2 linked regions of the Oreochromis niloticus genome follow. The protein of the gene in region 2 interacts with the protein of the main gene of each other region in a biochemical or structural test. Links are inferred from orthologs where the notes say so. Each region holds a gene or a part of one and is shown on either strand. Other genes may lie near its edges.

Evidence for each region.
Region 1: the proteins of arfgap1 (region 2) and arf2b form a complex in vitro, tested with the Homo sapiens proteins (2 studies listed by BioGRID, with this or other methods). The link is inferred for Oreochromis niloticus from reciprocal best matches to the Homo sapiens genes ARFGAP1 and ARF1.

What each region holds. Positions count from the first base shown.
Region 1 is NC_031973.2:4,379,775-4,387,797, forward strand, and holds the start of arf2b (ARF GTPase 2b), read right to left. Parts: upstream 3,274-8,023; 5' UTR 3,120-3,273; intron 2,026-3,119; 5' UTR 2,016-2,025; coding exon 1,868-2,015; intron 1,059-1,867; coding exon 948-1,058; intron 1-947. Other genes in the region: uncharacterized protein map3k14b, read right to left, coding at 7,893-8,023. UniProt on the Homo sapiens protein: Small GTPase involved in protein trafficking between different compartments. Modulates vesicle budding and uncoating within the Golgi complex. In its GTP-bound form, triggers the recruitment of coatomer proteins to the Golgi membrane.
Region 2 is NC_031970.2:24,910,349-24,917,478, reverse strand, and holds the start of arfgap1 (ADP-ribosylation factor GTPase-activating protein 1), read right to left. Parts: upstream 3,166-7,130; 5' UTR 2,955-3,165; intron 1-2,954. Other genes in the region: rh50 (rh50-like protein), read left to right, coding at 4,253-5,689. UniProt on the Homo sapiens protein: GTPase-activating protein (GAP) for the ADP ribosylation factor 1 (ARF1). Involved in membrane trafficking and /or vesicle transport.

The sequences.
Region 1 (8,023 bases), on a different chromosome or scaffold from region 2:
GTTAAAAACAGTCAGTGTTAAAAACCTAAAACAGTGATGGGCAGCTTTTCCCCCCCACCTCAGAAGACAATACTGACTTAGATAACGTAAGATCAGGGAAACACTTTAAACAGAATTTTCTGTTAGATTGTCAAAAAAAAAAAAATCCACTTGCATGCTAAGAACTTTAAATTATTCACAACTTTACCATTAGAGTGAAGATGTAACAGGTCATCATAAAAAACTGAAGTGTCGTGTCTTTTTTTTTTTTTTTTTTTTTTTTTTTAAAACGTTTCTTGGGGAGAGGCTAGACCATTAAGGACATCAGACTAGATTGAGATGGTCCGCAGGTCTAATTTTGCATAGAACCTTAATCTTTTTTGCCTGGAAAAATAACGGAAAGAACAATTTTCTGTCACCTTAATCATGAAATCATTAACCAATACTCGGCTCTCTAGCCCAAACACAACTTTCCTTGTTTGCTGCAGAAGAAAATTCTGTAGTCAGACATGCTGTTTGTTTAATGATGCTGCGTCTTAGATCATCACTGAAATGATTCACACATTCAATTTCACACTTGGGTGCTCAGTATGTGGAAGGTGACGTTCATCTAATGCATGCAGGGAAACCACAGGAGCACTGGTGGCAGTGCAGCAAATAAGGTGGCTTCAATCACAATTAATTTCTGAAGATTAAAGACACCACAAAATGTTCAACTTAGTTTGCTTACAAGCCGGATCATGAGTGGCAAACACAAGACAGCATAGGCCTATACATTCTGATGAGTTACACATCAGGAAACAGTAGAGGAGTCACACAATACGCCCTTTGAGAATGGAACAATGGCATGTGAGTCATTGGTCTCTTTAATATCCTCTATGCACCAACGAGGCCACCTACGGGCAGTAATGCTCACTGACACAACTGCCAGCTAAGATAATGCCACTGCACACCCCCTTTCACCTCACCTTGAGTGTTCTGGAAGTAGTGGCGCCACAGCGGCCTGATTTTGTCCTGACCGCCCACATCCCAAACTGTGAAGCTGATGTTCTTGTATTCTACAGTTTCAACATTAAAACCTGCGAAAAGGAAAGGGAAAAAAAAAGAAAAAAAAAAGGAGAGGAAACAGATGAGTCACTAAAAGGCTTTGGACCACTCGACAGCAAACACTACACGCAGGTAAAGATTTCTACGATTTATTATTTTTTTTATTTTTTTTTCCACTGTTTGTTCCTAATATGACTTTATTTTTAAAGTCAACATTTCATGACTGCATTTTAATCAAGAAACGGTCTTCAGTTACTCTCATTTTATCACTTATTCTTTGTTAAACCATTGTTAAAATGAAATGGTCCAGAAAATCTGAAATAAGGAAACATCTGGTTGCTGTAGATCAAAACGCATTAAACTTGGACACACACACACACACACAAAAAAAATTACCTTAACTGCTTAAAGCTACAAAATGATTGGTCACCCAGTGGACTGGTAATGGCATTCACCTGCTTTTGTGGCCAATATTTACCACATCACTTCTGGTTAAGTTTTTTTTTTTAAACAGACTTTAAAATAGATCCATTAATTTTAATTATGATTTAATTACTTGCCCTGAAACAAAGTAAGAAGTAAATAGCAATAAAAAAAAGAAAAGAAAATCCAAAAAGTAGATATATTAGTCATGACCCTAAATTTCGTAACAGTGTATCCCTTGTAATTAAAACAAATTAACAGTCAGATGTTTAAAAGACCTGAAGATCTGGTGAACAGGATTTTTTTTTGTCCTCTCTAATAACAATGGGAAATAACTAATAACATCTTCTCAAAGCAGTCTAAAAATACAGCTTCTTTACAATAATGACAGTGGAGTGATAGATGTAAATGTCCATACCAATGGTGGGAATGGTGGTGACTATCTCTCCGAGTTTGAGTTTATATAGGATAGTTGTTTTTCCAGCCGCATCCAGCCCCACCATTAGAATCCTCATTTCTTTTTTGCCAAACAGGCCTTTGAATAAGCTCGCAAATACATTCCCCATGGTGATGAAGCTGTCAAAGCAGAGACGGAGACAGGGTTAAGGCAGTGTACGGTCTGCTGTTAATCTGTTTCAGTGCAGTATGGTGAGAGGCAGTGAATACAGGGAAAATGTATCAGAGAAAACAGCTGACATCTGGACTGATTTACCATCGTTTTATCGTTAGTCAGTTCATAGAGGTACACCACATTAGAGCAGTTCGATGACAGCTGTATATTTAGTCGAAAAAACGAGGTACATTGTGAGACACACGGAGGAGAACAAGTTAAATGTTTACACAAGCGAATGACTGAGGCTTTCGTCTACGACTCTAAGTTAAGAGCTAACTCTGGCCGACCAACATCAGCCATTAACTTCTACACTACAGAAGTGTTAAAACTTCCTATGTGTCAATTATTTAACAGCAGAAAAATCGCATATCCTGAGGCTAAGCTGTACAACCGTGGATAAAGCGAATAGCTAACTGATGAAAAGATAAGAGAGGCCTGTTCCAGCTAGAAAACTCTGCAATAGCCGGTTAGGATAATGTTTCTGTACGAGTGAGCCGTCACAAGACGCTAGCTTTCAACCATAAGGTCAACCTAAGTTAATGTAAAGTTCATATCAGTATGTGTCAATAAAGGCTGAAACGTTGTGCTATGTGAACGCGCAGATTTTCTGTGTAAAGTCTGAAGTTTTCTCTCTTTACCTGGTTACCAGCACTCGAAACAGGATACAGTTCGCTTCACTAAGGGCGGATGCTTCAGCCAGATAGCTAGTTTTCCTAGCATATGCTAACTTGCGACGAGCAGGCGACACCGTTCGTCTACGGTCTACTGACCACTGTCGGTTACAGTATATATTATTAATAAATCTAACGATGACCTGCTACGAAATCCACCTGCAAAACTGAGGCCTGGTTTCTTAGGCGTGAACATTAAAAGATCTGATACACGATAGCTCGCTAAGCTAACAGCCGTTAGCTAAATGCCGCGTCACAGTTGAGAAAGAACCTCGTGACGTCATGCTCAGGCGAAACTAAATCGAATCGCTGGTACCGTGCGACAATCGCCGTACAATAAATGGCGTTACAGCAAAAAAAACAAGCGAGTTTATGTGGGTTATTACCTTTAAAACGACAGCTTCTCGATCTTTCCGTTATCTCTCACTGTCACCCCAAAATGGCGTCTTGCGCAACCAGGGAGACACCGGCGTACGGCAACTTCCCACTATCACACCGCGTCCAATCGTAGCACGCATGGTGTAACGGATAACCCGCCCAGATGTCTCCGCGGTCCAATCAGCGTGTCGGCAGAGCCTTGTGCGCACAGTGCACAAAATGTCGAGGAAGTGAGCCGTACACAAGTTTATTCAAGTTTCAGACACTGAGAACCGGGCCCTCAGAGTTTTTCTTTTTCTTTTCCTTTTTTTTAACCGACGAGAAATGACTACAGGGAAACAGAAATCGGCCACAAAAGAGACAAATAATGATAATTAAATAAAGAAATCCACACATAAACACAAGGACTATAGGGAGTCAAAAAACAAAACACGGAAATGCAACATTAGAAAAATCTGTTTCTAGTTTATTGTTTTTCCTGTATTTTATGTTTGCCTACGGTCATTTCGATTTACTTTTTGATCGTTTTTCTTCTCTATTGATGTTTAATTTTTTTAATTACTTTTAAGCACATTTTCTGAGTAAAACCTAGTGATCACTGGGGTCACCGAAGGCCTCTCCAGGACTCTCTCCAATTGTATGAGGGAGGTGGAGGGTTCTACCATTTATTTGTGTTTAGAGGCCCCTTTTTCCATGCCGGGACTCAAGATCCTGGCTGATCCCAACTTTTAGGCCTTACTTTCCATCTCGTTCCTCATAATCTGATTAATTGCATTTCTTTGAAGACTTGTACCAGTGAAATCCTCCCTGTGGACTCACTTGAAGAGATATGCTGAAATTTCTTTTTAGATCCTCACTTATTTTAATTGTGTTAATTCAAATTGCTGACACAGAAATGCTATCTATTATATGATTAGTGCAAGGCTGCAGGTTCTCATGACTAAATTCATTGTCTGCGGGTCTCACAACCACTGTCTTTAATCATTTATGGTTTATGACTTTTAGAATGGTAATTAATCACACTTGTCAGCAGCTAACAGCACCTGATGTCTGCAATTATTATTGGCTGTGTTTGCTATCAGAGGATCCAGAAGCTTCACATTCCTCAAGCACCAAGCTGGAAATGTGAGGCCTTATTGTAGACTGTATACAAAAGATGGATGTAGTCATCGTAATCACCCATTGGGTAGTGAAGCGCTGGTGACTCAAGATGAGTGTTTTGTTTTTGCTGTTGCCATCTTGGTATTTTGAAAAAAGTGGACACCACAGGCCAACAATTGCCATCTTATGATTAACAAGTCATGAGCCAAAGAGGAAACTTCATGTTGTTTTTTAGTATGACTTAAAATTAGCAGATTGTGCTCACAAGCTTAGCACAACCAGCTAAGAGTTTACTGAGGGCACAGATCAAGGAAGGAAAAACTTCTGGAAGTGTGTTTGCATTAAAGGAGTCGCCCCCTGCTGGTCGTTAGAAAGAATGCATATTTAAGGCGCTTCCATGTCAACTACACTTTCTGGAAGGTGCATATATCTTTTTACACTTGGTGGGCCTTACAGCAGCAATAGATTAAAAAAAAAGTCTAATAATAAATTATCAAGCCTCTTTTATTTGTAGTTTAAAGGGTTTGTAATATAACTAAAAAAATTGGGACTTTGTAGTGACCTTTACATCAGTGAGTCAGTTTGAATTTTCTGCAAAAAAGTTTAAAGATGGCTGTGCTCGTTCATGGGAACCTTGTTTGAATACCACTCTTCTGTTCACAGCATTAACAGCGAGATCATCAGCTAACCTTTGGGTAGAAAATGGAGTCTGTTAATTAGTAATGTCAAAAACCAGTTAACACCACACAAGGACAAAAAGCAAGCACTGGTCTGGCTTTTGATAGCACTTTTGCTATTGATGTCAATGAGAAGGAAGCTAAGGTTAGCCAGCTAGTTGCTATAGTCATAAAGAGTGTCACATGTAGTTACTTTTCATTTAATAACATGAATCTCTCTTCAGTGGGAACCTAGCTGAACTATTTCAAATACAAATAATGCAAAATTGTATATTTCATGCCCAGATGGAAAAATGTTTATATCTGATATTTATCAAATACAGTTTACACTGTACAAAAACAATTTGTGTAAGATCAATACCTATATTACAATTAATGTATGAACAGGATCAGGCTGAAGCAAACGTTTTCATACACCTTCCTGGTCACATGCAACACATGTAACAGCCTCACGTGTTTAACATCATCTGTTTTTATAGGGCTGGGCCTCTTTATCAGTGCTGTCAATGTTTACAGTGTGCAACAGGTCTAATCCTGGTCTTTCTCAAATGACACCGAGTCAGAAACGACTGGGAAAGGCAATAGCTGGAAATGAGCAGAAGACAGCAACTTTTGTGCCTCTGAGTCATTTTTTTATTAGAATATAAAATATCAGTTACATTCAAGTACCAAGAGATTCCAGTCTTGTGATATATTGTGGAAAACACATCATTTTAGGCAGCTTCATGCCATTTAAACTCTAAAATGAAACAGATGACATGACAAACTCTTTCTTCCACATCAGAAAGTAAACAGAGATACAAAGAACGGATTTTTTTGTTCCTAGTGATCCATAAAAGGAAAGAACAAGCAGGAGAACGGAAAGAGGGAAACAATCTTAACACACAAAATAAAAAAATACAGATGTCACAACCTATTACAGCTCTACCAACACCATTTCCTATTCAAGCAGGTTTACCCCCTTGGAGTGTAAACTACTTGTATCATTACTTAAAACATATAGAAACAGTTTAACCTGAAAATAGACATTTTAAGATTTCTTTTATTTGTACACTCAAGTAGCACTTTATTAGGAACACCTGCTTGTGCTAGTAGTTATTCAGTTAGCCAATCACGTGGCACCAGTGCAGCAGAAACTCTGAAGCTTCATTTACAGTGCCGTGCTGAATGGTTGACCATAATGTTTGCTTTTATTCTCGTTCCTCTGCTTTGTTCTGCTAACACCAGTGAAAACAGAGATGATCCTGTCAGAGCTCAACGTTCAGATGTGAACAACACTTTGCTGAAATGAAGGAAAGAGGTGAGCGTGACAAAACTGACAGAGTTATTAAAACGAGGAAATCAACATATCTCCACATATTAGCTGTTGTATTTGCATATTGAGCAAGCTAGGTACAATAAATCCTTCTTACATTTTCCATCCATCCATTCGCTTCCGCTTATCCTTTTCAGGGTCACGGGGGGCGCTGGAGCCTATCCCAGCTGTCATAGGGCGAGAGGCGGGGTACGCCCTGGACAGGTCGCCAGTCTGTCGCAGGGCTAACATACAGGGACAGACAACCATTCGCACTCACATTCACTCGCACATTTACACCTAGTGGCAATTTGGATTATCCAATTAACCTATCCCCACAAGCTGCATGTCTTTGGACGGTGGGAGGAAGCCGGAGTACCCGGAGAGAACCCACGCAAACACGGGGAGAACATGCAAACTCCACACAGAAAGACCCCGGCCTGATGGTGGAATTGAACTCAGGACCTTCTTGCTGTGCGGCAACAGTGCTAACCACCGTGCCCCTTCTTACATTTTATTTTGCAGAAATATTACTCCTGTGCTCATCAATATATTATGTTTCACACTACAGACCTAACACGGGGGCTGAGGTCTGGATTCCTACAATGTGTTGTTGGATTTCTGGTAAGGAGCAGCTCAGGCTGGGCGCAGGTTATGACACTGGTTTAACACAGCAGTATAAGCTAAGTACCGGGGTTTGGTAAGGTAACGGACATGTAACTAGTTATTAAGTACAAATTAGAGATTATTTTTGCAATTGATTCGGTTTGTTTGTGTATCTTTGCCAGCTGTGGGACTTCAAAGTGGTTATCATTTCAGGTCTGGATCTGGGAGATTTTGAAGGGATCCTTTACCATTATTTGAAGGATTGGATATTTTGTGTTACATCTACAAAAATACGTAAAAATATCACACTAAAAGAAAAAAATGAGAAATTGTGTTGGGATTCCTTGAGGAAAAAAACAAAACAAAACACGGATCCTGTTCATACTCAGTTCATGTGTGGCATGGAGGGAATTTTCAGCCTTGGTGGATCTGCAGGAATATGGAGTGTCAGACGGCTCCTGTTAATAATGTGATTCACTGGATTAAAAAACATGTTATCTAATCTAAACACAGGATGGTGAGATTATCAAATGCAGCCCAGATAGCAGAAATGCAGCAAGGATTGATCCATCGCCATGTAAATGGTAGGTCAAAATCAGCATGAGCCAACCTGCCCAGGCTGCTGGTGTCAGTGGGGTAACATGGGGAATGTTTTCTTGGTCTCTTTCTGCCAGCATATTACCAACAACCACCAGTCACACTGGAAGGAGTCATTTTCTAATGGCTCCTTCATCTTAAACGTGGTTTTATAAATATGAGACTGAATTCAGACGGCCTACGTTGTCGTCCTAACCAGCAAGTCTGAATCCAGAAGAACAACTCTGGCAACACAGGAGGTAAACTGAGGCTGTCGGCTAGCAAAGAGAGGGCCTACCTGAACTCAGTGTGGTGTTCCTAATAAAGTGCTTGATTGGTATCTTTGTTTTTCCTGTGTTTAAGGTTTTTTGCCCATATTTCTGTCAAAATGGATTATTTATGTTGAGCTATGTGTAAATGCACTGAGAAAAGTTTTAAAGTGCTTAAAAGCTTTTCCCAATAAAAAAAAAACAAATTAAATTAGTCCAAAAGACCAAAACAACAACAGAGAACAGAAAATATCCGTCTCATTCTCGAAGTTCGAGCTTGCCTTCTCTGACTCTCCACCTCCAGTGCTGGCATCTGTCAGGAGCAGGAACACAGCGAAGCCACAGACCAGACTCTCTGATCTCTCGTTCAAAGGACACCGTCTTCCTGT
Region 2 (7,130 bases):
CTGACAAACGCTTAAAAAGTTTATATGTAAAAATGTTATAAATGTAACTTTTTAAATGCTTTTTGTTCACAGGAAGAATGAATCTAACATTTTATTGTGAATTCAAATTAAAGCATTAATGAATTATCAAATATTCACCTGATTTTCTGCTGCATCTGGCAGTAAGTGTGCGAAATGTGGAAGGCTACTGCAGGTAATTTACCCACACCATTTTAATATCATGAAACCCCTACAGCTTCTTTGTTTTCTTGTTTTTATCATTGACTATGGCACAGAGACAGCATCGAACTAGACCTCTGCCCAACGTGCAACGAGCAGCGATTACAATGATTCTTAAAGCTTCTCTCCACAACCTCAAACAAACTTAATAGATTTATGTAGTAATTACCATCAGTGAACACAAAATGTATTGTTTAAACTGCAGTGCTCAGCCATATCAGGTCATCATTTAACCATTTATAATGACATTCATTGCACTTTGGGTACCTATTTTTAAAGATTAACACTTTCATAAATATTAATGGAATTAGGACAAAGTAAGTGGAAAATTGTTTTTCCAACTGGTTAGTCGACTAATAAAAGTAAAGTATCAGTATTATGACATTTGAGAAGCTGAAACCAGTGGATGTATGCCATTTAGGGTATTCACTGATCCGCCCTCCCGAGATGCTTTAGCCAGAACCAACGGAAATTCCCAACCACTGAGTAAACCACTTCAAAACAAGCATATCATCTGTTTTCTTTATCACAAAAATGCATCAATTTCTGTCAGATACAGTAACAAACAAACACCAAATGCCTTTACTGTATGCAGACTAGATATGCCTATGTATTTAATCACACCTTCCCCCAGAGGCCTACTCTGAGAAAGCAGAAAAAAATACAACCCTGCCTTTGTTACTTTGTTACACATTAATAAAGGTCATGAAGATTAATGAGTTGTAAAAATAAAAAAATGCTGACAATTAATCTGCTTGACTGGCTAATCCATTGCCTATCTAATCTGTTCAATAATAAAAGATGCTGATATTACATAACAGGGTAAACCAGACATCTGAGTTTTACCTGAAGCAACATCTACCAAGTCTGCACATGTTTAGCAAAAAAAAGATATCCTACAAAGTCTGATTATTTTCAAATAACAACTGGCAATGCTTTTGGCTATTCACTGGCTGGCAGACGGCTTGCAAATATCATCTCGTTTCATTAAACAGGATTACTCTGACAACTCATCACATACACTTTGTTCCCATGCTCACTCACTCTATGTAACCCTCCCACCACTTGATTGCCTTATCAGTATGTGTTATCCCCCACTTTGCTGGAATTAAACTCCAAAGTTCTCCTTATTTTTCCCCCAAACATACACAATGTTAACTGAGATATTCTCATACTCGAGTACTCCTCAAAATTATTATATTCTCTCATAACAAAATACTGTCATACCCAAGTCTTCTGAAAATCCTAAGTCCTTTTAAAAACTGAAATCAGTGTAACATTTTATTTTTAAACATTTCCCTTCATTATAACTATTTTTTCCCCTTTAACTTTCACCCCTTACTTTAGTGCAGGAAGGTCAAACTTATTTTACACCGTGGGCTGCACACAGCCCACTTCCATCAGTGAAACTTTTCTTTTTGTCATTGTAAAGAATTTTAACTACACATTTAGTCTCTGAGATATGTTAATACATAAAAAAAGAAGTACAAATTCAACAGCATGCCTAAACCTTTCTGCGAGATAAGGAAATGCTGCTGTAGTAAATGAAAATCTGTCAGCAGGACTTTTTGGGCTTAAACTGTGAGAAATAAATTTGGATAATTACAGAAAAAAATTGGTAGCTCCTGCAATTATAGACGTTTCATCAATTGATAGAAAACATGTTACTGATTTCTACTGTAGTCCCATTGTAAGAAGGAAAAACAAAACAAAACACTGAAACATCTATAGAAGACAGTAATAAAATTTTAAAAAAAACAAACAAAAAAAACCAGTCACATTTCTGTCACTTAATAGCTTAGGTACACAATGAATAACCATATGGGAGGGCCTTATCAGGAAGAAAAGCTATAAAACTTGGTTCAAGATTTACGCCCTCCTTCACTTGTTCAAATGGTCCAGTGATCCAAATTGGGAGTCTCTGCTGGGTCACTTCTGGCCTCCCAGACCTTATGTTTGCCACCAATGCACTTATTTTACCATGGCCTTTACCAAGTCTGAAGTTTGGTTCTTGTGGTGATTTCTGCCACATCTCTAGATTCCAATTTCCTCGTCTTCAGCCCTGGTTAGCTGTGCTTTGTGGGCAGATTGTGGGGCAGTGGTCTCAGTGTAAATAAATGTAGTGTTCCTCGACTGTGTAGCTCCACTCGATGACTTTAATGCCACATTGTTACCGTGCTTGCTTACTGAAAATGGTGGTCTACCCTCTCCTACTTCAGCAGGACCCGATCTTCCACCGTCACTCCAGAACATTTTGCCCTTTCTTTTTCTTTCAGCATTAGTCTCTTTCTGTCAGCATTATGTCTGTGACATTAACATATTCCCCCTCACGCTTGTTTACCTCATCAATATGTGACTTAATTATAAACCATAAACATATGTCATTATACGCTGTTACACCGCTCTCCCTGTAAGGCCTAAAAGCAAACAGCAGTCTAGTTAATAGTCTAATTACGAGTGACATGACAATTAAGTTTTAGCTGAGGTGCAGACGTGTCAAAGCTCTGGGAGACACAAAAACTACCGCCCCCATGCAGCGGCTTTATGTGTGTGTTTCACAGCACAGGTATAAAAGTATACTGATGTGTTTTCCACGTCTTCCTTTGACTAATGATTCACAGCCCGTCTCCAAAAGGAGATGACAGCGATGATAACATTTAAATGAACTGACGTGATTAGCAGCACTGGTAGCGTTAGCTTCACCGGGAGCTAGCGTCTGCTAACTGACCAGTTACCTGTCTGTGACCGACGAAGAAGCGAGGAGCTGTTTCCAGAGTCCACTGATAAACTCCGACCTTTCTCCTGTCGCGGAGGATCAGCAAAAGCTGGTGTATCAGACTATGTCGGTCAGGGACAAGAGAATTTTTCAAGAGTGCTGATGTTAAACACCGGTAGCCATGTTCCTGTTTGCATACGTTGGCAATGCAATGCATTATGGGAGCGATTCTTCTTCTTCTTTTGCATTTTAATACCGGCTTTAACCTGCTCATTGCTGCTGATTACTGGACTGGAGTCTATGGGGGTTTGAGGTTTTTTTCTTTTTTAGTCACAATCCTCAACCACGACGACGACGATACAGTTTGTAAATAAATAAATAAGGTCACATTTCAGCACTCTGCTATCATAGTCTGATTTATCAAGCAGCAAACTTAGAAACTCATATTTAAAAAACACTTAAAAACTGCACATCAAATTCTTGAAATCCATCCCAAAATTCAATGTGAGTCTTTCTGATTAATTGAACTTCAGTTTCAGTGATAAATGTGAGTTTGTGTTCCACATAGAATAATAATATAATAACAAAATATGCGAATGGCTTCTTTCTCATTGCTTTCTACTGAATCCACAATAGATATCAGAAACTGACTTTCTGCTACAGTGAACAGCTACATGTAAAACAGGAGTAATTAATTGATATTATGATGTTATATATCTCCAGCCATACTCCAGAATAGCTTACGTTGAGAAATACTGCCTTGTCTTACTATGATCTAACTTTGATTGTTTTCTAATGTCGATCAGAGAATTCATCTTTTTGCTTCAGACACAACACACATTCCTAATGCTGAACAGGTTCAGTGTGATAACAGTTTGTCATTCCTGTTATTCCAGCTGTTATTTAGGCGTTTAGCAGTATCACATCCCAAGACTGAAAAATTATGAATTTACATATTTGAAATAAAATCTGGAATTTTTAAACTAAGGATGACATCATATACTGGCACTAATAGTAAACATAATGACATATATTGATGACAATGACTATGGCATGATTAGCTTAAAATAAAGACATTTAATACCAATCAGAACTTGCTGCGGAAAACCACAGGGGGAGAGATAAGCTCAGTTGTGAGCAGTGAGGGATTAAAGTACGTTGTTCTCTCGAGTTGTTAAATAACAATCCACTGTTAAATGTTCACTCTCTTTAACCAATGCTTTTATCTGCTCTTATCTGATCTTTAAAAAAAGAGAAAAGTACAAAAGGGGTGTTGCTGCAGCGAGAGGAGTCGCAGTCTGGATACTGAACATCAACATGAAGGACTCAGTGAGTTTGAAAGTGAGCCTGCCAGTGTTTGTGTTAGTGTTTGAGGTGATCATCATAGCTCTTTATGCTGTCTTTGTCACTTACGATGACGATACCAACGCAAAGCTGCAAAACAATGAGACCAGCCCCATGGAGAACTCCCTCTATCGTGACTACCCCTACTTTGCTGATGTGCAGGTGATGATCTTCATAGGCTTCGGTTGCCTGCTGGCTTTTTTCAGATTCTACGGCTTTGGCGGGATGGTCTTCAACTTTCTCACAGCTACATTTGCAATCCAGTGGGCAATCCTGATGCAAGGGTTCTTCCAGTTTTACTATGATGGTAAAATTCACTTGGGGGTGATCAACCTGGTGAATGCAGAGTTTGCCTGTGCTGTGGTGCTCATCTCCTTCGGGGCTGTGCTTGGGAAGACCAGTCCTGTTCAGCTACTGGTCATGGCTTCTCTTGAGATTCCTATATTTGCTGTGACAGAGTGGGCTGTACTCAAATACATTAGGATCAATGATGCAGGCGGCACTATTCTTATCCACATATTTGCCTGCTACTTTGGTCTAGGAGTGACATTTATGCTCTATCGGCCAAGTTTGAATGATGGACATGCTAAAGAGATCACTAGTTATCATTCAGATATCCTGTCTGTAATGGGAACCCTGTTCCTCTGGGTATTCTGGCCTTCATTCAACTCTGCTCTTACATTTAAAGGTGATGATCAGCATAGAGCAATACTCCACACCTTCATAGGTCTCTCCTCATCCACTATCACTGCCTTTGCACTCTCTGCGCTATTCAATAAGAGAGGCAAGCTCACGATGGCTGATATCCAAAATGTGACTCTGGCAGGAGGTGTGACAGTTGGAGCTTCTGTGGACATGATGATTTCACCTGTAGCTGCATACGTACTGGGCGTCATGGGCTGTACTGCCTGTTTCTTTGGTTACAAGTACCTGACCCCATTTATGGCTTATCGCATGAGGATCCAAGACCAGTGTGGTATTCACAACCTCCACGGACTGACTGGCATCATATCAGCCGCAGCAGGGATCTGCGCCATCCTCCTCGCCACTGAGGAAACCTACGGGCCCAGCATGTACCAGATCTTTTCCCACCGTGCTCCACCTGAAGGAGATCCACGGCTGCTAGAACTGCAGAAGCTGATTCCTGGACTGAAGCCGGGCTTGGGACGCACTGCACAGGAGCAAGCGCTGTACCAGGTGGCGGCTGTCTTTACCACCATCGGAGCCTCTACAGTTGGCGGTCTGCTCACCGGGCTGGTCATGAAGTTTCCCTCCTTGGCATCTCCATCTGATAAGAAATGCTTCGATGATGAGCTTTTCTTTGAGTTGCCATCAGACTTTTCCAGTGTAGAAGTCCCCTTAACCTATGAGGAGAAAGGGCAAATGAATCCCATGGACACCAAAGTCTGAGCTCTTGTACCTTATATTTTTTAACTTTATACATATATACATATATATATATAAATATATATATGTGTGTGTGTGTGTATGTATGTATATATGTATATATATGTATATATATATATATATATATATATATATACATATATATATATATATATATATATATATATATATACACACATACACATATATATTGTGATTTCTAAATATATTAAAAAGAAATTGTTTGCACACATGGTTCCAGTGTAGCACAAGTGAGACTGATCATTATAGATTTTAAAGTGGTAACATCTACTTACATACCTCTTTGTACTGAACTGTTTCCATAAATCTCACTTAGCATTTTGCATACAAAAAAGCAATGGAAAAGTAACAGGCTGAAATATGAACTTTTTTGCAGTATAATGTATTTAAAATAAACAGTTTAATAAAACATGGTTCATTTTATCATTATTGTTATTTAAAAATGTGTGGAATCCGATTTCTTGCAAAAAGTATATGCTTAAATGCATCATTTGTCAAAATGAAAACTGCAGTTTTAATTTAAACTTTTAATTTTTTTTAATTTATAATTAATGTGTGAAGACATATCAACAATAAGCCAGGGCATATTTGACACGCATCGTCCCTTTAGAAATAGATATAAAATAATTTGTTAACTCACTAAAGTGTTACAAATACGACAGGCATAAAATAGAAGCCTAAACATGACATTTTCATAACACGACCATGATAGTGGAATCTGTATTAAAATCTGACATAGTTTTACGGAGTCAGATTGAACTCTAGATTACCTCAAGGATACAAAAGTCCTGTCTATATAACAATCTCACTGTGCTTTACAATCACCAGACCAAAGTATGGCCCATTGTTCAGTCAATGACAACAAGCAACAACGCAGTTTTGTATTTCAAAGCCTGAACAGAAGAATTCACCAAACAAATTAGCTTATATGAAAACATAATCTCCTTTAATGGAAATTCATCATTATCATCAAGGTAACATATGTCATTCAGCATTTTTAACATCATAATCTAATGCTACCTCATCGTTTTACAAATATTTTCAAATTTCATGTGCTTCACATGTTTTGTGATATTTAAAAAATATCAGCTCTACTTTGAAAAACTATTGTCTGGACAAGTGATATAGCCTCTATACAAGCATAAAGAATATATGAGTTTATGTTATCAGCTGGACTTTTGACATCTGGGACTTCTTAATATACATGCATGGTTTATATGCAGGTTTTGTCACACCGTTCCGCAACTTTTTATCTGGGCATCATGGGCCTAAGTTGGAAGTGACCAGTGTGAAATAATATAAATGCTGCATATAAGGTATCATCTCATTCAAGATAAGACAAGATAACTGAGGATGTAAACAAGCACTTCAAACTTGGCTCTACGAGAAGAGAAGATCATAATTTAAAGGTAAAGTGAGTTTC